Xenopus tropicalis: one gene and its partners. The protein of the gene in region 2 interacts with the protein of the main gene of each other region in a biochemical or structural test. Links are inferred from orthologs where the notes say so. Each region holds a gene or a part of one and is shown on either strand. Other genes may lie near its edges. The genes, in order: pmepa1, nedd4, gabarap, sgk1, wbp2, map3k5 and map1lc3c.

Region 1 (3,060 bases), on a different chromosome or scaffold from region 2:
GGGACAGACAGCGACAGACAATAGCAATGACCTTTACACACAACTATAAACCCACTTAGAATCTGGAACGACGGCAGATTAGGAAGTTCCTTTGAATAGTATTTTTGTTTTGTTATACAATTGACAGTTATTGGGCGTAGTTCCCCTTTAATTCCGTGCATGAATAGGTGAATGCATTTCCTCTTACCTCTATGATTCCATTTCCCGACACTGTGCTTTCTGACGGCCAAAGATTTCCTTCCTGGGTAAGGAAACAGAGATGTGTTAGGTAGAACGTGTTTTATTATTGGGGTCACTGACCCCGGCGGCCAAAAAACTATTGTTCTAATATTGGGAAGTTGGTTAGAATCACATTTTCTTTGACTAAAAAGGATTTGCTGTAAGTATGAGACTTACCGAGGAAAGGTTCTCCTCTCGCCGCCTGCCCTGGCTGTGCCGGTGGATGAAGGATCGGGCCGAGAGCTTGTAGTGGTTTAGGAGACAAGTGATAACCACGACCATCACCATCATCACCACCACAATGATGATTATCTGGACGAACTCCAGCTCCGCTGCGGAGAGAACACAGAGACAGTTCCGTGAGTTACACAATGAACCTCCAGCCAATAGCACGTAAGCTCCTAACAATTATACCCACGATGTCTTGATTAGCATCTGACCCATATATATACCCTCAAACACTATGGCACCTCCCACCCATATGTATAAATACAAATATACAGAGAAGGAATGTTCTGGGCACACAATAAGCTGTACCCCCATACTGTACTGTCTAAGGGAAACACTATGGCACCCCCTACCCATATGTATAAATACAAATATACAGAGTAGGAATGTTCTGGGCACACAATAAGCTGTACCCCCATACTGTACTGTCTAAGGGAAACACTATGGCACCCCCTACCCATATGTATAAATACAAATATACAGAGAGGGAATGTTCTGGGCACACAATAAGCTGTACCCCCATACTGTACTGTCTAAGGGAAACACTATGGCACCCCCTACCCATATGTATAAATACAAATATACAGAGAAGGAATGTTCTGGGCACACAATAAGCTGTACCCCCATACTGTACTGTCTAAGGGAAACACTATGGCACCCCCTACCCATATGTATAAATACAAATATACAGAGAAGGAATGTTCTGGGCACACAATAAGCTGTACCCCCATACTGTACTGTCTAAGGGAAACACTATGGCACCCCCTACCCATATGTATAAATACAAATATACAGAGAAGGAATGTTCTGGGCACACAATAAGCTGTACCCCCATACTGTACTGTCAAAGGGAAACACTATGGCACCCCCTACCCATATGTATAAATACAAATATACAGAGAAGGAATGCTCTGGGCTGATATTGTACTACCTAAGGCCAATGGAGCATATAAGCCCCTGAATGAGGTCGTTAGTGAGATTATGAACTAACGGACAAATCTAAGCATTATGGGTACAACCTGTTTAATGAAACTTAAGTATCTTTGGTGCGTTTAGGAGGATTTGGCGGTATTCATGGGGCGCCACATCTTCATCCCGGCATTGTGCGCCATTTACAGAGGAACATATTTTGTTTTGTCCATAAAATTCCGCCTTTGTTGACGGAGAATCCTAAGCCGTGAGGTAATTTCATGCAACGCGTAGACGCAAGGCCAAAAGTATGTGCCCCATTTATATGTTAATAACGACATCCCCTCATAATATCAGTATCTAGAATAGGAGGGTTACCCCCCCACCCCAGGGACCCTACACCCCTCTGCCCTTGTCACACATCAGGCCGCGGCTGCGGTGTGACCGATGCCAATTTCTGATGAACAGACGTCTTTATGCCGCCCGCGACGCCTCTGCTGGGCGGCGGTGCCGTGTTGGGAAGCCGGGCAGAAAGGGACACGCTAAAATGGGAAAACACAGGCTCATTTCAATGCTCCCTCATTGGAATTCAAGGCCTTTTATTTGGATGTTTGATGCTTGACCGGCTCACACTGACCTTTGAAATGGCGAATTCTGGGACTCGCTGGGCTTTGTACACAGAGGGCAAAAACACTGGCAGCCAAGGGGCGAAGGAATATTTGCCCTGGCGATAACCTCGACATGTAACACGGGAGGCCTACGCTAGGGAAACAACCCCCCCCACAGACATGTAACCTGTTAAATCTCAAACTGCCCCAAAACTTCCCAAACTCTGGAACATTGTCGTTGGGACTAGGGCTGAACTACACCTCTCTGCCCATGTTAGTGCCAGGCTGCGGCCGCTCCACTGGGGCTTCAACACCTCTCTGCCTGTGTTAGTGCCGGGCTGCGGCCGCTCCACTGGGGCTAAACTACACCTCTCTGCCTGTGTTAGTGCCGGGCTGCGGCCGCTCCACTGGGGCTTCAACACCTCTCTGCCTGTGTTAGTGCCGGGCTGCGGCCGCTCCACTGGGGCTAAACTACACCTCTCTGCCTGTGTTAGTGCCGGGCTGCGGCCGCTCCACTGGGGCTAAACTACACCTCTCTGCCTGTGTTAGTGCCGGGCTGCGGCCGCTCCACTGGGGCTAAACTACACCTCTCTGCCTGTGTTAGTGCCGGGGCTGCGGCCGCTCCACTGGGGCTAAACTACACCTCTCTGCCTGTGTTAGTGCCGGGCTGCGGCCGCTCCACTGGGGCTAAACTACACCTCTCTGCCTGTGTTAGTGCCGGGCTGCGGCCGCTCCACTGGGGCTAAACTACACCTCTCTGCCTGTGTTAGTGCCGGGGCTGCGGCCGCTCCACTGGGGCTAAACTACACCTCTCTGCCTGTGTTAGTGCCGGGCTGCGGCCGCTCCACTGGGGCTAAACTACACCTCTCTGCCTGTGTTAGTGCTGGGGCTGCGGCCGCTCCACTGGGGCTAAACTACACCTCTCTGCCTGTGTTAGTGCCGGGGCTGCGGCCGCTCCACTGGGGCTAAACTACACCTCTCTGCCTGTGTTAGTGCTGCTGCTGTAGTGCTTATATCCCTTACTCCTCTCCGCTTCATCAGCGGCCGCTCCACTGGGGCTGAACTACATCTCTCTGCCCGTGTTAGTGCCGCTGCT
Region 2 (3,500 bases):
TACAAATAAAACATTAGTAACTTGATGAATGTGTCCCTTTAAGAATTTCAAAATAGCAAACTTCGCACATAGCCCAATCTGACTTAGCAGCTCCCACCCAGTGAGACATGTAGATGCTATGCTGTGAGTAATTCTAACATATTTGACATTTGGAAGGGAAAGTCAGTAGCTGAGCCACTTCATAATACTGATGTCCCTAAAGGCTCAGTACACACATAATACAATATAAGTAGCATTATATAAATATATACACATATAAATAGAGGGTTTTGGAATTTTTAACCAAATATCTCAACATTGCTTAATGTGTTGGACACACATTTAACAATCTTTGGGGTTGATATTAAAGCAAAAATGTCAGATGCATGCCTTTCTAATGCCTCAAATGACATGAGATTGCTTACACCATGAAACAATGTATTAGCATAAGCTGGTCCTTCCACATATACAGTCAGAGAAACTACAGAGAAAGGAATGAAGAGGTCACAGTAAGGCCCTAATAATGAGCTACCGTATATACTCGAGTATAAGCCGACCCGAATATAAGCCGAGGTACCTAATTTTACCTAAGAAAACTGGAAAAACGTATTGACTCGAGTATAAGCCTAGGATGGGAAATGCAGCCGCTACTGCTAAGTTTCAATAATAAGTTTTTTCTACACATCGAAAAGCAAAACTGATACCATAAGAAATTCCAATTATCAAAACTTCTGCTTACCTCATATCTTCCTACATGCCCTCTCAGCCAATAAATTCTGTAAATTCTAATACCATTTTGTAAGATACAACTTACTGTGCTGTGATTCTCTTTTATTCAAAACAACATTTTGCGTGGCTGTAGCGAGCATGCAGACACGTCGCACTGCCGGCAACTCACCACCCCCGTGTCACCCCGAGCACTCTCCTACAGACTGCATGCAGGCAGGTCGCGTGGGCAGCAAAACCCTCACACCCCCGTGTGTCACCCCAGCGCTGACTCTTATCAATTGCATGCAGACAGGTCGCGCCAGCGGCATCCCCCCCATCACCCGAGCACTATCTCCTACTGACTACATGCGTGTCACCCGAGCACTGTCTCTTGTGGACTGCATGCAGGCAGGTCGCGCTGCCGGCATCAACCTCCCTCCCCCGTGCCTCTCCTACCAATGTGCACGTCGCCTGCATGTCACTCTCTGTCCTATGTCGCGCCTCCGGATGCTGTCCCGAGCTCTCACAATCCTGCCAAACTTACTAGTACCGGCGCATCAGTTGCAGGCACGTCACGCACACGCAGAGGGAGGGGGGTACTCGGGCGTGACGTGCCTGCAACTGATGCGCCGGTACTAGTAAGTTTGGCAGGATTGTGAGAGCTCGGGACAGCATCCGGAGGCGCAACACAGAGTGACATGCAGGCGACGTGCACATCGGTAGGAGAGACACGGGGGAGGGAGGTTGATGCCTGTATGCAGTTGTTTGATTTCGAGTGCTCGGGCGACGCAGGAGGGGCTCTGGGGGGTTGCCAGCGGCTCAACGTGTCTGCATCCTGCCTGAAACTGATGCGCTGGTACTAGTTGACTCGAGTATAAGCCGAGGATTCCTTTTTTAGCACATTTTGAGTGCTGGAAAACTCGGCTTATACTCGAGTATATACGGTATTTCAATATCTCTTGATATAGGTCAATTTACCAATCTTTTGGGGCCCAGTAAAATCTAGTTATGCCACTGCATACAGTGCTAAAACTGGGAGACAATTACCTGCTTCTTTAATTTCTTCCGGAAGTATTCATACTTTCTCTTATAATCCCTGGAGTAAGGCACAGCCTTGAAGGAGGAAGGACATTCATATTAGAATTGAACATTGAATACAAATTTGCATGAAAAGATGATAAATGTGTGGTTTAGCCAATCCTACTGCTGTTTAAGATATAAATTTGCATTTGTGCCAATGTGAACACACATTAGCATAATGTAAAGGAATAAACATAAAATCTGCTTTATGAAAGCAATCTTCTTTAATGGAAATACAAGTAATATTAAGGTTAGGGGTCATTTACTTTCCTAGGGGGTGCTAGGGGGACACGCAAGGTAGGGGGCGGGTAGAGGGGACATCTACGTGCCTCCCCCTGCCTTCACTTCACTAATACAGTGCTAACTAATGCAAGAGAACACAGAGGACTGTTGCTGTTTGTACAATGCAAGGTGCATAAACATGGTAGATAAATGGCTAATTGTGGCCATTTTTTTAACTTTGTTTTGCACAATGTGTTGTGCATTGTAAATGATACCTATGTGTACCTATATTGAGTTTTTTCTAAACAAATAACTAGAATCGAAAAGGTTTGGTAATAAACATGATACTTACTGGTCCAGTTATTGCTGCAGTTTGTAAGCGTGGATCCTCCCACTGTGTTTGCTTTGTGTCTAAAACAAATTATATTTTATTTTATAGGCAATTTACAACAAATATTTTGAAAAAGTAAATACAAAAAATAGCTTACTGTGATCAATGTAAAATACTCTTCCATCATTATGAGTTCTTTCTTCCCATCCAGGCTGTAAGAGATGGTTAAACAATATTAGTATTTTACATTCTATTTTGCCAGAGATTCCTGTGCAGAATGCAACAAAAAGAATCTTCCCCAAAAGACCAGGGAACCATCACTTGAGGGAAGTTGCCATATATTTCTGTAGTTAGGTCCAAATGTGACCTTATGCAATGCAGCTTACTGCAGTGACAAGCACAATTTGGCAAATAATGGCACCTTGGTGCCTATTAGGTATTTAACAAAGCTCAGCACTCTGCAGGTTCAAAAAATACACTTTGGTCTTGTTGAAAAGACCCGCAGAGTGTTGTACTTTGTAAAATACCTATGTAAGTCTGGGCTCTGGCTGGGCCATTCCAGAAGACCAATCCTCCTTTGGTGAAGCCATTGCTTTGTTGATTTTTATGTATGCTTTGAGTCATTGTCATGTTGAAATGTGAAGTTCCTCATCATCATCAGGTTTTGTGACAAAATAGACTGATACTTGGAGCTATTTATGATTCCAACCACCTTGACTAAAACACAGGTTCCAGCTTCTCTGTGGGTATGGTGTTCTTATGATGATGTGCTGTGTTATTATTGTGCCAAACAAACCTTTTGAAATTATGGCCAAATAGTTGAACCTTGGTCTCATCAGAACATAATACATTTTAACACATGGTTGGGGGAGACTGGGTATACCTTCTGCAAAGTTAAGCCGGGCTTGGATTTTGATCTTCTATGAGTAAAGGCTATCATCTTGCTACACTACCCCAGAACCCAGACATATGAAGAATACGACTGATTGTTGTCATATATAGGGAACAACCAGTATCTCCCTTCACATCAGTTTTAGAGACATGTCCTGATCTTGGTACAGTCACTGTTGAGCTGTATTTTCTACACTTGTTGATGACTATCTTTATTGCGCTCCATCAAATGTTTGGATACTTTTTTGTACACCTGTCCTGACTGCTATCTTTCAATGATGAGTTCCCT
Region 3 (3,930 bases), about 53 Mb from region 2:
CCATGTTATACCCCAGTCCTCCTCTCCCCATGTTATACCCCCCAGTCTCTCCCCTTGTTATACCCCAGTCTCTCCCCATGTTATTTACCCCCAGTCTCTCTCTCCCGAGTTATACCCCCAGTCTCTCTCTCTCCCATGTTATACCCCCAGGTCTCTCTCTCTCCCATGTTTAAAACCCCCAGTCTCTCTCCTTCCCATGTATACCCCCAGTCTCTCTCTCTCCCCATGTTATACCCCCAGTCTCTCTCTCTCCCCATGTTATACCCCCAGTCTCTCTCTCTCCCCATGTTATACCCCCAGTCTCTCTCTCCCCATGTTATACCCCCAGTCTCTCTCTCTCCCATGTTATACCCCCAGTCCTCTCTCTCCCCATGTTATACCCCCAGTCACTCCCCATGTTATACCCAGTCACTCCCCATGTTATACCCCCCATCTCTCTCCCCATGTTATACCCCCAGTCACTCCCATGTTATACCCCCAGTCTCTCTCTCTCCCCATGTTATACCCCAGTCTCTCCCCATGTTATACCCCCAGTCTCTCTCTCTCCCCATGTTATACCCCCAGTCTCTCTCTCCCCCATGTTAAACCCCCAGTCTCTCTCTCCCCATGTTATACCCCCAGTCTCTCTCTCTCCCCATGTATAACCCCAGTCTCTCTCTCTCCCATGTTATACCCCCAGTCTCTCTCTCTCCCCATGTTATACCCCCAGTCTCTCTCCTCTCCCCATGTTATACCCCCAGTCTCTCTCTCTCCCCATGTTATACCCCAGTCACTCCCCATGTTATACCCCCAGTCTCTCCCCATGTTATACCCCCAGTCTCTCTCTCTCCCCATGTTATACCCCCAGTCACTCCCCATGTTATACCCCCAGTCACTCCCCATGTTTATACCCCCAGTCTCTCTCTCTCCCCATGTTATACCCCCAGTCTCTCTCTCTCCCCATGTTATACCCCAGTCTCTCTCTCTCCCCATGTTATACCCCCAGTCTCTCTCTCTCCCCATGTTATACCCCCAGTCTCTCTCTCTCCCCATGTTATACCCCCAGTCTCTCTCTCTCCCCATGTTATACCCCCAGTCTCTCTCTCTCCCCATGTTATACCCCCAGTCTCTCTCTCTCCCCATGTTATACCCCCAGTCTACCCCAGTCTCTCTCTTCCCCATGTTATACCCCCAGTCTCTCTCTCTCCCCATGTTATACCCCAGTCTCTCTCTTCCCCCATGTTATACCCCCAGTCTCTCTCTTCCCATGTTATACCCCCAGTCTCTCTCTCTCCCCATGTTATACCCCCAGTCACTCCCCATGTTATACCCCAGTCTCTCCCCATGTTATACCCCCAGTCTCTCTCTCTCCCCATGTTATACCCCCAGTCTCTCTCTCTCCCCATGTATAACCCCCAGTCACTCCCCATGTTATACCCCCAGTCACTCCCCATGTAACCCCAGTCACTCCCCATGTTATACCCCAGTCTCTCTCTCTCCCCATGTTATACCCCCAGTCTCTCTCTCTCCCCATGTTATACCCCCAGTCTCTCTCTCTCCCCATGTTATACCCCCAAGTCTCTCTCTCCCCATGTTATACCCCCAGTCTCTCTCTCTCCCCATGTTATACCCCAGTCTCTCTCTCTCCCCATGTTATACCCCCAGTCTTCTCTCTCCCCACGTATATACCCCCAGTCTCTCTCTCTCCCCATGTTATACCCCCAGTCTCTCTCTCTCCCCATGTTATACCCCCAGTCTCTCTCTCCCCATGTATACCCCCAGTCTCTCTCTCTCCCCACGTTATACCCCAGTCTCTCTCTCTCCCCACGTTATACCCCAGTCTCTCTCTCTCTCCCCATGTTATACCCAGTCTCTCTCTCTCCCCATGTTATACCCCCAGTCTCTCTCTCTCCCCACGTTATACCCCAGTCTCTCTCTCTCTCCCATGTTATACCCCAGTCTCTCCCCATGTTACCCCCAGTCTCTCTCTCTCCCCATGTTATACCCCCAGTCTCTCTCTCCCCATGTTATACCCCCAGTCTCTCCCCATGTTATACCCCCAGTCTCTCTCTCTCATGTTATACCCCCAGTCTCTCTCTCCCCATGTTATAACCCGCCCAGTCTCTCTCTCCCCATGTTATACCCCCAGTCTCTCCCCATGTTTACCCCCCAGTCTCTCCCCACGTTATACCCCCAGTCTCTCTCTCTCCCCATGTTATACCCCCAGTCTCTCTCTCCCCATGTTATTACCCCCAGTCTCTCTCTCCCCATGTTATTACCCCCAGTCTCTCTCTCCCCAATGTTATACCCCCAGTCTCTCTCTCCCCATGTTATACCCCCAGTCTCTCCCCATGTTATACCCCAGTCTCTCTCTCTCTCCCCATGTTATACCCCAGTCTCTCTCTCCCCCCATGTTATACCCCCAGTCTCTCCCATGTTATACCCCCAGTCTCTCTCTCTCCCCATGTTATACCCCCAGTCTCTCTCTCTCCCCATGTTATACCCCCAGTCTCTCTCTCTCCCCATGTTATACCCCCAGTCTCTCCCCATGTTCCTGCCCCAGAGGAAGGTTCCTGCCCCAGAGGAAGGTTCCTGCCCCAGTAGTTGCCCCGGGGGCAGTATGTCACACACCGGGACTCGGTCGGGGTATTTCTTGCGGATTTTCTCCCCCTCGGAGCGGCGCTTCTCGAAGGGATGTTCCTCTTTATACACGAACTTCATGGCGGACTCTCCGGGCGGTACCGGTTCGAGACTGCGATTGGAGTTTCGGTTCCTGTTGTTTTCAGGACTGACACTGACAGGAAATAAACAGGCCGAGCCCCGCCCCCCACTTCCGCATCGTGGCTCCGCCTTCCCAACGTCAGCCGCTGCGTCATATCGGGCCCGGAGCTCTGTAACCATAGCAACCGCCCCTCCCGCCCCTTCACTCACTTGTGCGATTGGAACGGAAACCTTTCAGTCTGTTTCATTCTGTTTGTGTGAGAGAGAAGTGAGTGTGAGAGTGAGTGTGAGAGTGTGAGTGAGAGAGCGTGAGTGGGAGTGTGTGTGTGTGAGTGTGAGAGTGAGTGTGAGAGTGAGTGTGAGAGTGAGAGTGAGTGTGAGAGTGAGTGTGAGAGAGAGAGTGAGTGTGAGAGTGAGTGTGAGAGTGAGTGTGAGAGTGAGTGTGAGTGTGAGTGTGAGAGTGAGAGTGAGTGTGAGAGTGAGTGTGAGAGAGAGAGTGAGTGTGAGTGTGAGAGTGAGTGTGAGAGTGAGAGTGAGAGTGAGAGTGAGAGTGAGTGTGAGAGAGAGAGTGAGTGTGAGAGTGAGTGTGAGAGTGAGTGTGAGAGTGAGAGTGAGTGTGAGAGTGAGAGAGAGAGTGAGTGTGAGAGTGAGTGTGAGTGTGAGAGTGAGAGTGAGTGTGAGTGTGAGAGTGAGAGTGAGTGTGAGAGTGAGTGTGAGTGTGAGAGTGAGTGTGAGAGAGAGAGTGAGTGTGAGAGTGAGTGTGAGTGTGAGTGTGAGAGTGAGTGTGAGTGTGAGAGAGAGAGTGAGTGTGAGAGTGAGTGTGAGTGAGAGAGCGTGAGTGTGAGTGAGAGAGTGTGTGAGAGAGAGAGAGAGAGAGAGTGAGTGTTAGTGAGAGTGTGAGAGTGAGTGTGAGTGTGAGTGAGAGAGCGTGAGTGTGAGTGAGAGAGTGTGAGAGTGAGTGTGTGTGTGAGTGTGAGAGTGAGTGTGAGAGAGAGAGTGAGTGTGAGAGTGAGTGTGAGAGTGTGAGTGTGAGTGAGAGAGCGTGAGTGTGAGAGTGTGAGTGTGAGTGAGAGAGCGTGAGTGAGAGAGTGTGAGTGAGAGAGTGAGTGTGAGAGAGAGTGAGTGTGAGTGAGAGTGTGAGTGTGAGAGTGAGTGTGAGTGAGAGAGTGAGGGTGAGAGTGAGTGTGTGAGAGTGAGTGTGTGTGTGAGAGTGAGTGTGTGTGTGTGAGA
Region 4 (2,789 bases), on a different chromosome or scaffold from region 2:
TCAGTAATACTGAGTCATAAGACTCTTTTAGGCCAGTGCACAGTTCAAGTTCTGCTTGAGATCTAACCTAAAAATGGGTCTCTAAAACATAACAATAACCATGTCCTTCTGAATATGTTAAAGTAAACTAACCAAGACCCTATCTTATTTACAAATATCCAATGTAATGACATGGGGTCAGAAGGCCCTACACAATTGCTAAACTTTGGATGTTACAGTGTACATTCATATATTCAGATGGCCCTGGGTGGATTTTCATATTTTATGTTTTTGTCCCTTAGCTTGGCAGGCAAGGTAAAATTGAATGAGCAAATGTGTTTTTATAGGATATATGCTTATTTGCATTTGTTTTTCTCTTTCACCAGCCTCCTTTCTACAGTAGAAACACTGCAGAAATGTATGACAATATCTTGAACAAGCCACTGCAGCTAAAACCAAACATAACCAACTCAGCCAGGAACCTCCTGGAGGGTCTTCTGCAGAAGGACCGAACAAAAAGGATTGGTGCGAAGAATGACTTTGTAAGTAAAGTTTCTAAATATAACCATGTGATGTTCCAACAAGGCAAACACGTGTCTAATTACTTTTGATTGGTCTAATCCTATTTCTTCTTCTCTGACAGATGGAGATTAAGAACCACATGTTTTTCTCTCCAATTAACTGGGATGATCTGATTAATAAGAAGATTACACCTCCCTTTAACCCAAATGTGGTAAGTTGTCACTATCTTCATATATAGAAATTCATATGCATAAATTATTTTCATAAAGAAAGTTTTCATGTGCTTCATAGATGCTTTGATCATGTCTATTCCAGCAAAAATTATATAATGTTTTCTTGTGAACTTAGGGGTAGGTAGAGCAAGCAGTATTATAGCTTCCACATTAAAAGATATTGTATAGATAAATAAGCAAAATAGCACTTTTACATATTTACTTACTGAGCACTTCATGACCCAGCTATTGCACATGGGTAACTCCCAGCATCCTCTGTGAAAGCATTCAAATGCATTCCCTTGTATTATAGCAGGAGACTACCAAAGGTTAAAGTACTGGAATCTAAATGTCTATATTGTATTGCAGCATGGAATTATACGTTTTGAATAGACAAGATGCTAGGTTTTTATTTTGGACTGCACCTCAACTGAAATTACAATGTTCTAACAAACCATTTTTCTCTGTTTCAGAGTGGGCCAAGTGACCTGCAGCACTTTGATCCGGAATTTACTGAAGAGCCCGTCCCTAATTCTATTGGCCAGTCTCCGGATAGCATCCTCATAACTGCCAGCATTAAAGAAGCTGCAGAAGCATTCATGGGCTTTTCTTATGCACCACCTATGGAATCATATCTTTGAGCAATCCTTCTTTCTCGTCTAGTAGTCATTTCTAATCAAGTCACTTTGATTTTTATTTCCTTTTGATGAAATTTGCACATCCTTCACAACAGCATCACAGCCTTAATTTCAACATCCCTGGTATTGCTGGAAGGGACGAATCAGTGGAGCTGAGAAAAGGATAGAAAAAAGTGACTTTGGACTTCATACTCTGTTGTTGGGAGAAATAAGAACTATTTGCTGAATTTGCAGCATACAACCCTTATATTATACAGAGGGATACATGAGGGCTTCTTAAGCTGGAAGAAGACATCCAAGTGTGTCTTTATAGTATGGGGCTTTTGCAACGTGCCTTTCTCTTTTGAGAGATCTTGTCTATCATAAGAACCATCCATATGACGTGGGGGCTCTTTGGTTTTGACAGTGGTTTTACAAGTGAACAATGGTATGGGTGTAAAGCTTATCACAGTAAAACTGTGGTTTTGCACACGTTAATGTGACATGCGTTGATCGCTAATTTTGGGGCATTGTATATTTCTTCCATATGTGGAAGCTAAATTAATGTAGATAGAAATTAGTTATTTTTTTCCCTGTAGATAGTACTAACTAAATATATATTGAAATGAGCTTGCAGTGACCTTTGTTAAAATGCTTTTAGGAAAGCATTGCTGCTATTAAAATTTCTATTTTTAGAAATGTTTTGGTTTTTTTTTTCTGGACCAAAATGCCCCACATTTAGTTGTTCAAGGCTGTAATGCCTAGTTTAAACAATTTTATTTATGTTATTTTTTTTGACATTCCAGACCATTATTGTGCATATTGTATATAATCAAGAGATGTATATTTAAACTGATATAAGTGTATGAGTTGAACATGCCAATGTACTGTAATTAATAAGATAAAGTATCTTTTTTGTGACCAAACCTGTGGGTTTGCAATAAAACTTAAAAAATTTATTTTGTTTATTTGTTATAAATAGGTAGATGTGTAGGTTGAAGGTTGATAGTAATATAAACCATTCATTAAAGGGGTTAAAGCATTCCCTTCATTGTATCAATACTAATAAGTATTAATAGGTTTATGGCTCCATGGTATTTTGTACCATACCGACCAACATTTACAAAATAGAAAGAGGGACAAAAAGAACTGCAGCACATTGCAAAACCTGGGACACTGGGAGCAACATCAAAGGTTGGTGAGCATTATTTTGCTCACAAACCACCAGTTGGAGATCACTGTGTTTACCTATGGGCAGGACCAGCTGTGTGAGTTGATTGCGACTTCTAATCACAATGGTAAATTTTCAGAAAATGCTACTGAAATAGCCACATAAGCAAATGTTTTAGTCAAGACATAATGGAGGAACAATGCACGATGCCAAAATTCTGGAAAAAATTACCAGCCTTCCTATTATTATTGCTTTCCTCCCTGTTAATAACATTAGCATCAAACATCA
Region 5 (4,279 bases), on a different chromosome or scaffold from region 2:
GGGTACTCACCCGTGCGGCCCGTTCTCGCACGCCTCCTTGCGCGCGCGTCCCGTTGTCCGCGGGACATTGCGCACGCGCGTCCAGGTGTGTGTGCGTCAAAGCGCACGTACATGTCAAAGCGTGCACGTCCGCGACGCGCTAACGGCGCCGGTTCTGCGCATGCGTGGGGGGTATTTAAAGCTATCAAACGCCTCCTCCTGTGCTATGTTGTCTGCGGCCTTGCCTGGGAAACTAAGCCTGCCTGATTTACCTTACGACTTTCTGTTGCCGATCCTTCGCTTGCCTGACTCTGATTTTCAATACTACAGTAATTATTCTCTAATTTATTAGGAAATGGGGTTAACACCTAATCATGCATGGAAAAAAAAAAATACCGTCAAATACAGCGACACCGATATCATTTTGAAAAATACTGCAATATAAATTTTTGGCCATACCGCCCAGCTCTAATTTCTACCTCCTTCTGCCGATTCAGCGCTGAAGGCAGATTTTGCTCAGGCGCCTTCTACGGTGCCCAAACAAAATCTTTTAACCGGTCCGATTGGTGAGTCGACAGCCTTCTGTGATATCGGCCGCCTCGCCGAGTTGCCATACACGCACCGAATATCGTATGAAACGAGGTTACGTATATTATCGGTGCGTGTATGGCGGCTTTACCCTGGCAATACCGGACCCACCGTATGTTAGAGAAACGCAACGTAATACTTACCTGTAAGATAACTTTACCTCAACTAATATATACATCGACCAGTTAGAGACCTTCTTGTATTTCCGCCGCTATACTAAGGGGCTGATTTACTAATCCACGAATCCGAATGGGAAAAATTTGGATTGTAAAACGAACATTTTGCGACTTTTTCATATTTTTTGTGACTTTTTCGTAGCCGTTACGACTTGCGCGAATTGTCGCGACTTTCGTATTGAGCGCTCGAAAAAGTCACAAAATACCGATCATTACGAAAAAAAAACACTTTTTGGACGTTCGTGGGTTAGTAAATGTGCCCCTAAGTGTAAGAAGGGGCGAAGCAACTACGCGGGGAGTATGAAATAGCTTAATATCAGCCCTGTGATAACCTCAATTGGGATTGTATGAAATCCTGTTAGGAGAGGTTTGTAGTGAAGTAGTATGTTTAACTAACTAATTGGCCGATATAACTGTACAAAATAAGATTGGATATTCCCCATAAAGTAGAATTTAACACTTACTGCCCTGAATAGCCGCCCAAACACAGCGCTACATTGGTAACAACCGTAATACACGGAGCAGCTCTGCGCCTCAGCGCTAAGTGATCGTTACAATGAAGTATTAGCAACGCAGAAACACAACTACAACATTAGCGCCTCAAGCGGCCATGGTTTATTTTCAGTGATACACGCCCCCTAGCGATCAAGAACACATGCCAGTCATAGATCCCTCAGCCAATGAGCGGCCGGCCCTACAGCAGTGGAACCGCCCAGACTGCGTCTCAAAGTGCGAGAGACTCTTCGAGCACGGTGATTGGCTGTTGCTAGGCTGCGGAGGTGTGACCTTTTTATCTCCGCAATATGGCCCTTAACAGGAACCACCTGGATGGCGGAGGTGCAGTAATTAACAACAGCGAGAGGTAGGACAGCGGCTAAGTAGAGAGACAGTCGCGGGAAGCAGTCAGCGAAACGTTAGACGGACCCCCTGCATGAATATGGGTTCCGGGTATCTGTCATCATATATGGGGCGGAGCTTGGACATGACGAGCAGGGATTTGTGCCAATTATGGAGCTGATACAGATACACCCGCCTCCCTCTCTTTGCCTGTCTGCTGTACTATTTGTATAATATTGTGTGTGTTTTCCTATTCCCAGGCACAATATACTTAATTCTATCAGCATATCTATATATAATATGTCCCACATGTATCCCTTGTGAGATTTACTTACTAAACCCCCTTTATTATTATTTATATTATTAATTTAATATAATATTCTTATGAAGCACTTACATAATCACATGATACAGTGGAGGGGTGTATACAGTGCTGCAATATGTAGGAGATATTTAACGCTCAGACCCGGGGAAGGCAGAGTGACCCTGGAGATTATAGGAGGCCCCATAGGGCACTGACTGATAAGCAGTTTTAATAGCTTTATTATAAAAAATGTCTTATTCCTAAAGTTTATTGGGGCGCTAAAATGATTTTGCTATAGGGCTCAGTTATGCCACTGAAACCGCGTATCATTCAGTGTTCTGTTGGATCTCTTACGGTGTCGGACTGGCCCACAAGGATAGCAGGAAAACTCCCGGTGGGCCCAGATGTCAGTGGGCCCTCCTGCTCCTCAGCATTTGGCCTGCTTCATGGTCATTCCCTGTTTCTGAATGGGAACAAAGAAGAGAAATAGATGGAAGAATAGATGCTAGCATGTAAATAAAAGAGACTAGGAGAATAAAGAGGTTGGGTGAGGAAAGGAGGAAAAATAGTTTGGAAAAGCGGCCTGGGGTCTAAGGTTTTCTGGTGGGCCTCTGGGTTCCCAGTCTGACACTGATCTCTTATACCTTGGCAGTTGCAGGGTCTTCTTCCTCTACATTTACACCCTTGGGCACTCCTCTTATTCCTCAAACAGATAGTCAGTTTGGCCCAATATCATGAAGATGCACAATAACCACCCCCCACACACACCACACCCCCAAGGGGTCCCCATCATCCCAAACCCCCCAGTCTGGTGGAGGGACGTCAGTTCAGGAACACCAGCAGGGATCGAGGGGCCCGCTTGGTTTTTTCCCGGTGTCCAGCTGGCAGTTCGTCTTTGACTACTAAACTGCACTGTTCTCATTGAACTTGCCCTTTATTATCTTCCAGTATCCTTACTTCTTATGAACATGTGGAGGTCACATTTAGTGACATGGACAGCACCCCAGAGGCTTTCAGAGGGACCAAGAAAGGCAGAGTCATTCTGACACCATATCGAGTAAGTCTGCCTCCCTTTTCCTTCACTCATTAGGTGCAGTCTGACTCATTGGCACCATGGAATAAACTGCTAATGTGCAACTAAACTTTCCATTAGGTCAGAGAAGACACTTGGGGGTTATGTAATTAAAAAAACTAAATTTGCCCAGGAACAGTAACCCATAGCAACCAGTCAGCAGGTAGAATATACTTATTGGTTGCTGTGGGTTATTGCTATCAGGCAAACTTAAGGTTTAATCGAGTGGATCATTTCCACCTAAGGTGGGCAAAATTTGGCTAAATCGATTGTTTCGCCACCTGCCCATTTTTATCCAGATATTGGTTGGGTAGGCCTGCTGGGGGGCCCCATGGGCAGATAAGCGCCCGAAACGGTCTGAAGGACTCAAATCGGCAACTTAGATTTGCCAGTGTATGCCAAACTTTAGTGTCATTTATTACATATAGGGCTAGTGCCCTTCTACACCTCCTTAATAAAAGTCACAGAGGGGATCCATGAACATATAAAGGCGGCACAAAATCACTTTAATACAGGCCCTAAAGCTTTGAGGTGTCTAATATTCTCTCATTTTATTCCAAGGGGGTACATTATTCTTTCAGTTATTATTATTTCAGTGAGTCATGTGACACAGATTCTAACCTATTTATAAGCATATCTTTTACGGCTCTTGTGTATTATGCATGTGGGTGAGGCTAATTTTGCATCCACAGGTGATATTTGTGTCCAAAGGAAGGGACCCCATGCAGTCGTTCATGATGCCCTTCTATCTGATGAAGGACTGTGAAATTAAGCAGCCCGTATTTGGAGCCAATTTTATCAAGGGCAACGTGAGAGCTGAGCCTGGAGGTGAGCAGTGTTACTATCTGACGGATACCTATGCGTTCTAGGTCCCACTTCAGCTCCTGGGACACCTGCCTTTATTTTTTGCTAATATAATTTGCTGTAGGTTAAATATATCTTTTAATCTGGAATTCATTTCTTTGCCTGCAGGTGGTTGGGAAGGATCTGCTACATTTAAACTAAGCTTTCCTTCAGGGGGCGCTATAGAGTTCGGCCAGCACATGCTACACGTGGCCTCTCAAGGTGAGCAGGGGGTATCTGAAGTCACAATCTCTTGACATTTAGTCTGGACTCCCAGGACTACCTAGGAGAGCAAATACACATTTGCCACAAGCCCCACACCTCGGGGAAAAGATTTAAAGGGAAATCCCAATGGGTCAGAAATTCTGCCTCAGCCTTTGCAATGCACTTTTTCCTTTACCCATTTTTATAAAATATGGTTTCTACTCGCCCTTGTAGCCTCAAGTGGAGGAGCTCCAAATGTTGCCTACCCATATATGC
Region 6 (3,500 bases), on a different chromosome or scaffold from region 2:
TCTTAAGATTAAAAAGAAAATGTTGCTTTCAAAAAGCAGAAGGACCAAAAAGATGCCGATAGGTGGATGAGCTTGGTCTTGTAAAGATTTGGGGAGGGTCCTTCTAGTGGGAGGAGGTGGGGGGGGACCATCCCTTTAAATACTGACTGTAGTAATATGTGTGGGGACTATGCATACATACCTACAAGTGTATGATATTAATATCATTTAGGCTAATGTCCCACGGAGAGATTAGTCGCAGCGATTTTTAAAAAGCAAGTCTTTTCCTTACAAGCGATTACTAGAGATTTCAACAACAGAGTAATTCTATTTCCCACAAATCCAGGTGTCATATTCCCTGCCCACAATTAGAAATTACATTCAGTGAAATGGGGAAATTGCAGCAAATTCCCGCTCAATTCAATTCTTTGTAAAATCATTCGAAAAAGGGTCTCATAGCGATTAGGAGTGATAAGCATTTTGAAGTGGTATTGTCAGTTTAGGTACTGGCGATTTATATTTTTCTCTATGTAGAGATAAAACAAGCAACTTGTCACTGGAACTCGTTTTCTAAAAATAGCAGTGACTAACCTCTCTTAGCATTTCAAAGTAAACGGGTTGTTCAGTTGTTTATGGTGAAACAGCATCCTTATGGAAATGACCTGACTGACTAACACAACAAAGATTATGATACCTGATTATCTTGTCAATCAGAACAAATCCCTACTTTGGTCAGCGAGATTCTAACAGTATAAAGCTGGCCATACACGTGGCGATCTGACGATGTTTCGTACGACCATCGGTCGCACGAAACATCGTCAGATCCGCCACACACCATTCAGGGCTGAATCGGCAGGTAAGGAGGTAGAAACAATAGGATTTCTACCTCCTTCTGCCGATTCAGCTCTGAAGGGAGAATTTTGGTCAGGCGCCTTCTATGGCGCCCGATCAAAATTTTCTAACCTGGCCGATCGAAGAGCCGACCAATTTCAGCAGCTTCCTGCGACATCGGTCGGCTCGCTGACATACCATACACGCACCGATTATCGTACGAAACGAGGTTTCGTACGATAATATCGGTGCGTGTATGGCCACCTTAACTTGTGAAGCTCTTACACATTTAGACAGATACACGCACAAAGATATATGGAAGGTCAGGGAGAAATCTTCTGAAGGCTACAGTACATATCCTGTGGGCACGTTCGAAAGACCTTTGTATTATTTGCTGTCTCTGGGCTGGACAATCTGAATAGATTGATTCATCTCTGGAAAAGAACCGTGGTTGTCTCCATTTACCTGGCTGTGGTAAATAGTGGAATCTCCAGTATATTTGTAATAATATACTACATATATATATATATATATATATATATCTACACTATGCAACACTGACATGGAGTGAGCCTAGGGTAAGTTAAGCGAAGGGAGCAGCATTGGAAAGGAATGGCCATTTTAGTAAGTTTGTGTATACAGTTTTAAGTAAGACAAAGGTGAAGCAAATTTTAATGGCATACAGAAGGTGGGACTGATTACACAGAGAAAAGTTAAATGTATATAGCAATTGCAAGCTTATGGGAAAATGATGAAAACAAAATAAATAGATAAATACAGGAATAGGATCTATAATGCTTGGGATAATAATCAGCAAGTGAAACACAGCATAAGTATACTCAATGCATCCAGAAAACAACCATGCAAAATTAACTATATTTTATCATTATTTATTAATCATCCACCAGAGTTAGTATTTAGGATTTTTGTTAGCAGTGACAGTTAAATTGCATATTGCATATGCTTTTCCTCAATTATCAATGTATGTGAGTGTATAGATTGGTAGGTGTGGGTTAAGTGTGCTGGGTTTACTTGGATGGGTTGAACTTGATGGACACTGGTCTTTTTTCAACCCTATGTAACTATGTAACTATCTCCACATGTTAAAATGTAATTTTCATGATGGAGTAGTTTCTCTTCAGTGAGCTCAATACCTACTGTTGCAGTAATACTGGACAATGCTGATAATAGGTTAACTACTTCTGGGAAACATATATTCCTAAAAAGAACGATTGTCTAAAAAAAGAAAATGTGAATATATTTTTGAAGTACTCAGCAAATATCAAACACTCAACATTTGTATCCAACAAATTATCAATAGTTTTGCAACAGAACACATGGGTCTATATATATGGGACTCACCAGGTACCAGGATAGTGATAGCTGTCTGCACGGCCTTTCGAATTATATTATCTAAGGCAAACATCCAGTGAGGCTTTATGTTATGATTTCGTAGCACTTTATTTACCTGGTAAAAGAAAAATGAAAATTGACTATACTCACTAAGACAGGGGTCCTCAAACTTTTTAAACAGGGGGCCAGTTCACAGTCCCTTAGACTGTTGGGGGGGCCAAACTATAGTTAGTCTTTAAGATATGGAGCGCCATTAGCGTTGGGCGGTAGGACGCAGTTATGTGACTCACTGAGGCCGAGGGCCACACTGAGGCAGACAGGTAGTAGCCAGGGGTGAGCATACAGCGGGGGCGGGGGCCGGGTAAATGACCTTGGGGGGAAGTATCCGGCCTGCGGGCCTTAGCTTGAGGACCCCTGCACTAAGATTTCCATGTCAAACAGACTGGTCAATAGTTGACCAGCTCCTTTAGGTTGAGGGCATAGGATGTTTTCTGTGCATTATTATGTCAGCAGTACCTGCCACTTCCTGAACTTAAAAAGGAAAAATCTAACAGCACCAGCATGGGCAGTTTTCAACCTAAAGATGCTCTATGTTGAAACATGATGTTTTCAGCTCCAAAAACATTTAAAGCACCAATACTGTGCCAAAAAAGCCACCACCCCCTAATCAATAAATGAAATATAAAGAAGTACATATAATATAGTATAACACCAACCGAATGATTAAAGTAGGGCAAAGTAGAGGGGGGATTGAATTACTTTGTCAGGAAAGAAGTGTAATAATGGCATTGTGGACATATTGTTTAGGAAAGTGCGACATTTATAACCCTTATATAAACTCAATATGAAGTAACTGATGATGTGTAATGTGAAAAGTGCTATAAAATCACTAATTTAAGATTAATTCATCAAATATAAGATTTAAGATATTGAGATCAAAAAGGAAAATTCTTATATATATCTTATATTTTCATTCTTTCTATTCTTTAGGGATAGCACACAGAGGTAGATATCAGGAAACCCAGGGCTGTGGTCTATTGAGTACCTTCCCTATCTGTTAAAGAAGAGCTGAATTTCCTATAAAACACACAAACCACTGGGTACCTGGAAAAAGTAAAGATGAATGAAGTGCTTAAATGCCACTGAAAAGCTTAAAATTTTAGGGCCCATTTACTATTTGTATTTTGCTCTTTTTTACTAATAGTGATTTTTTTATGCTACAAATTGTATATTTTACTAAGTACTTGAATTCCTAGTTTATGAAAAATACGAATACAAAACTTCCCCATTTATAGGAGGAAGAAAGGCAAAAGCTAAGTAAGCTGTATCAGAAAGGT
Region 7 (2,730 bases), on a different chromosome or scaffold from region 2:
AAAAGGACCAGTGCACCAGAGATCACCCCTTTATATTAGAGGAACGGAACTTCCATTTGAAGCAGCGTAGGTGGTTTTTCACGGTGAGGTTGTGAAATGCCCTTCCTAGTGATGTGATGGCAGATTCTTTTAATGCTTTTAAGGAGGGCTTGGGTGAGTTCTTGAACAAAAATATCCAAGGCTATTGGGAAACTAAAATGTGCAATTAGTATTAATGTTGGTATATATACTGTAGTTTATGTATGCAAGTGTATAGATAGGTCAGTATAGGTGTGCGCGCTGGGGTTCGATGGAAAGATTTGAACTTGGGTTTTTTTTTCAACCAGATTTAACTATGATCTGTTCCTGTTTATAGCCAATACAAACCAAGCTATCCCACATACATACATACATAATCAGGCAGTATATCCAGGTGTTGGATTAATTGGTAAATAGGCAAATCAGTAAATTAACAATAACTATTTTTGACACCCTCCACAGTTAAATTAAGGCAGTAGTTATTTTATGAAGAGATTTTATTTAGCATTAGGCTGACTGATTTTGTGCAGTAACCTCTTGTGATATATGTAAAACAAAAACCTCTTGATTGGCCAGAGTTTTTTCATAAACACAAATACACTATTGCACATTGGAAATACAGAAGTAAAAAAAAAAACAAAAAAACAGCCAGAAAGAACCTAGGAACCTTACAGCCCACCCTGTCCTAACAGTGAATAACCATTTGTACTGCTTCAGGTGAAAGAAGGGATGGCTTCTTTTTTTCTTTTCAGTGTTAAAAAAAGTGTCTTCTTAGAAATTCTTCTTCCCCACAGAAAACAAACTCTTCTCTGCTAATAGCACGTGCCCATTAATTTTAGCTGCATGTTATTAATACATATACATTTTGATGTGGTACCCAAAGCTGCAATACATACCCAAGCCCAGGTCTTACAAGAAATATATAGAGGCAAAAGCATTCCGTCAATGCCCTTTCTATGCAGAGAGTACTTTATGCTTCTGCAGCTACTGACTTATACTGTGCAGAGCAAAGTCTGTTATACACAATAACCCCAAATACTATTTCATGTGAAGGGGAAGTCTATCTAAAAACAAAATTGTTCTAAGTTAGAGAAAACAGTTGTGTTTAGTACTACATAGAATCTGCAAAAAAATTCTGTAAAAATAAAATATTTTAAATCCTTTATTACAATAAATTTACAAAAGCATTATCTTTTGACTTTTCTAAAAGGATGCTCAATAAATATTTAACATACATAAAAGGTTCCTTTAAGTGAAAACATTTCAATAAAAAGTATTGTACACTATAGCCATATACTTCTAAGTTCCAGCCCATGTTATAATAATGACCAAAAATGTTTAAGGTGTAAATTTAAATAATAATATAATACTAGGGTCTAGAATTTACACATGTACATATCTGGGCCCCTCTTAGTACAAAGATTGTCCTCGTTTTTTTGTGATATGCATTCAACCAAACATCTCTTGAGATGCATATGTCATATATAGGAAACCATCTTCATCCTTATGGTCCCTATAAAGCTCAGCCATCGTAAGTGACATGCTGGCAAGGCTCTTGTTATTCACAAGAAGGTAAAATGCTTGTGTAGCAGATAAGTTCATGCGATTCCTGCACAAAGAAAAAACACACATTTAAAGATTTTTTTCTGTACCCAATAAGAATCATTAGTAGTATGGTAACAGTAATATAGTGGTTATGTTATAAAATGCCTTCACATTCTGTATAATAAATGGGTGTTTATATTTAACATACAAAAGCAAATATGAAGGGTAAAGAGGGCCCTGCCCAAAGGAGCTTACATTCTAAAAGCAGGAGGCATTAGGACACCCTGAATAGAATAGGAAAATAATATACATTTCTGCACCTGCCCATAGCTTCTGAGAGATTAAATGTGCATGCATGTACCCTGAATCAGCTCATTTCTGGTACAGAAGATAAACTTTCCACAGCATCTTTTAACTTATTTTAAAAGTGAATAATCATTCTGAATAACTCCTAAAGAGAAATCCTTCATAGTATATCTACATGCCATGGCTATACTTTTTTTTTTTTTTTTTGTTTAACCTTTCCTTGTCCTTCAAGAAATCTTTCAGAGACAGAGATTCAACAAAATATGGTAGAGAATTCCAGAGAAGGGGTACAGCTCTTGCAAAAGTATTGAATGCAAGGGTGCGAGGAAGTAATGAGAGAGGTTATCAGGAGCAGGTCATTACAGCAGCATAGCAAATGGTTTGGCAAGTATCTGGAGAGGAGTTCAGAGATGTAAAGTGGGGCAGAGTTATGGAGTGCTTTAATTGTGAGGGTTATTAGTTCATATTTTATTCTGAATGGTAGTGGATTTGCCGGGTTTGGCAAAGCAGAGAAAGAATACTTACTGAGTGGTTGGAAGGCCAATTAATCAGTACTGTAATCACCGTGATATGCTGAGAGCATGGGAGAAGTGCAAGTTGGTTAGCATAGTAATAAAACAACTTGCCTTCCTCTCACCAAGAGTCCTTTCCTATGTCACAGTTCCTCCAGTAAAGGTGCAGGGAGCTGTTGTCTATCCCCAAATACTTTATTAACTCTTGTCACACCAGTACAATCATAAATATCACAATTTTACTTGTCACACGTCAGTTCCAATTCTCAGTAGGAGTTTTTTTATAATAACAGTTCCCTTCAGTTAGGTTACCACTTTTCATATTCGCCGCCAAAACTGGATCCACACT

What was found.
Region 1: the proteins of nedd4 (region 2) and pmepa1 form a complex in vitro, tested with the Homo sapiens proteins (2 studies listed by BioGRID, with this or other methods). The link is inferred for Xenopus tropicalis from reciprocal best matches to the Homo sapiens genes NEDD4 and PMEPA1.
Region 3: the proteins of nedd4 (region 2) and gabarap form a complex in vitro, tested with the Homo sapiens proteins (2 studies listed by BioGRID and IntAct). The link is inferred for Xenopus tropicalis from reciprocal best matches to the Homo sapiens genes NEDD4 and GABARAP.
Region 4: the proteins of nedd4 (region 2) and sgk1 form a complex in vitro, tested with the Homo sapiens proteins (3 studies listed by BioGRID, with this or other methods). The link is inferred for Xenopus tropicalis from reciprocal best matches to the Homo sapiens genes NEDD4 and SGK1.
Region 5: of the proteins of nedd4 (region 2) and wbp2, one has a biochemical effect on the other in vitro, tested with the Homo sapiens proteins (6 studies listed by BioGRID, with this or other methods). The link is inferred for Xenopus tropicalis from reciprocal best matches to the Homo sapiens genes NEDD4 and WBP2.
Region 6: the proteins of nedd4 (region 2) and map3k5 form a complex in vitro, tested with the Homo sapiens proteins (2 studies listed by BioGRID, with this or other methods). The link is inferred for Xenopus tropicalis from reciprocal best matches to the Homo sapiens genes NEDD4 and MAP3K5.
Region 7: the proteins of nedd4 (region 2) and map1lc3c form a complex in vitro, tested with the Homo sapiens proteins (2 studies listed by BioGRID and IntAct). The link is inferred for Xenopus tropicalis from reciprocal best matches to the Homo sapiens genes NEDD4 and MAP1LC3C.

What each region holds. Positions count from the first base shown.
Region 1 is NC_030686.2:5,338,580-5,341,639, reverse strand, and holds part of pmepa1 (protein TMEPAI), read right to left. Parts: intron 552-3,060; coding exon 397-551; intron 242-396; coding exon 188-241; intron 1-187. UniProt on the Homo sapiens protein: Functions as a negative regulator of TGF-beta signaling and thereby probably plays a role in cell proliferation, differentiation, apoptosis, motility, extracellular matrix production and immunosuppression.
Region 2 is NC_030679.2:100,483,819-100,487,318, reverse strand, and holds part of nedd4 (E3 ubiquitin-protein ligase NEDD4), read right to left. Parts: intron 2,533-3,500; coding exon 2,478-2,532; intron 2,401-2,477; coding exon 2,342-2,400; intron 1,801-2,341; coding exon 1,735-1,800; intron 1-1,734. UniProt on the Homo sapiens protein: E3 ubiquitin-protein ligase which accepts ubiquitin from an E2 ubiquitin-conjugating enzyme in the form of a thioester and then directly transfers the ubiquitin to targeted substrates. Specifically ubiquitinates 'Lys-63' in target proteins.
Region 3 is NC_030679.2:153,336,136-153,340,065, forward strand, and holds the start of gabarap (GABA(A) receptor-associated protein like 1), read right to left. Parts: upstream 2,801-3,930; 5' UTR 2,701-2,800; coding exon 2,611-2,700; intron 1-2,610. UniProt on the Homo sapiens protein: Ubiquitin-like modifier that plays a role in intracellular transport of GABA(A) receptors and its interaction with the cytoskeleton.
Region 4 is NC_030681.2:71,248,924-71,251,712, reverse strand, and holds the end of sgk1 (serine/threonine-protein kinase Sgk1), read left to right. Parts: intron 1-365; coding exon 366-521; intron 522-622; coding exon 623-712; intron 713-1,186; coding exon 1,187-1,354; 3' UTR 1,355-2,289; downstream 2,290-2,789. UniProt on the Homo sapiens protein: Serine/threonine-protein kinase which is involved in the regulation of a wide variety of ion channels, membrane transporters, cellular enzymes, transcription factors, neuronal excitability, cell growth, proliferation, survival, migration and apoptosis.
Region 5 is NC_030686.2:44,869,609-44,873,887, reverse strand, and holds the start of wbp2 (WW domain-binding protein 2), read left to right. Parts: upstream 1-1,479; 5' UTR 1,480-1,546; coding exon 1,547-1,605; intron 1,606-2,832; coding exon 2,833-2,941; intron 2,942-3,648; coding exon 3,649-3,784; intron 3,785-3,928; coding exon 3,929-4,021; intron 4,022-4,237; coding exon 4,238-4,279. UniProt on the Homo sapiens protein: Acts as a transcriptional coactivator of estrogen and progesterone receptors (ESR1 and PGR) upon hormone activation. In presence of estrogen, binds to ESR1-responsive promoters. Synergizes with YAP1 to enhance PGR activity.
Region 6 is NC_030681.2:58,903,864-58,907,363, forward strand, and holds part of map3k5 (mitogen-activated protein kinase kinase kinase 5), read right to left. Parts: intron 2,279-3,500; coding exon 2,173-2,278; intron 1-2,172. UniProt on the Homo sapiens protein: Serine/threonine kinase which acts as an essential component of the MAP kinase signal transduction pathway. Plays an important role in the cascades of cellular responses evoked by changes in the environment.
Region 7 is NC_030681.2:57,421,675-57,424,404, forward strand, and holds the end of map1lc3c (microtubule-associated proteins 1A/1B light chain 3C), read right to left. Parts: intron 1,628-2,730; coding exon 1,468-1,627; 3' UTR 501-1,467; downstream 1-500.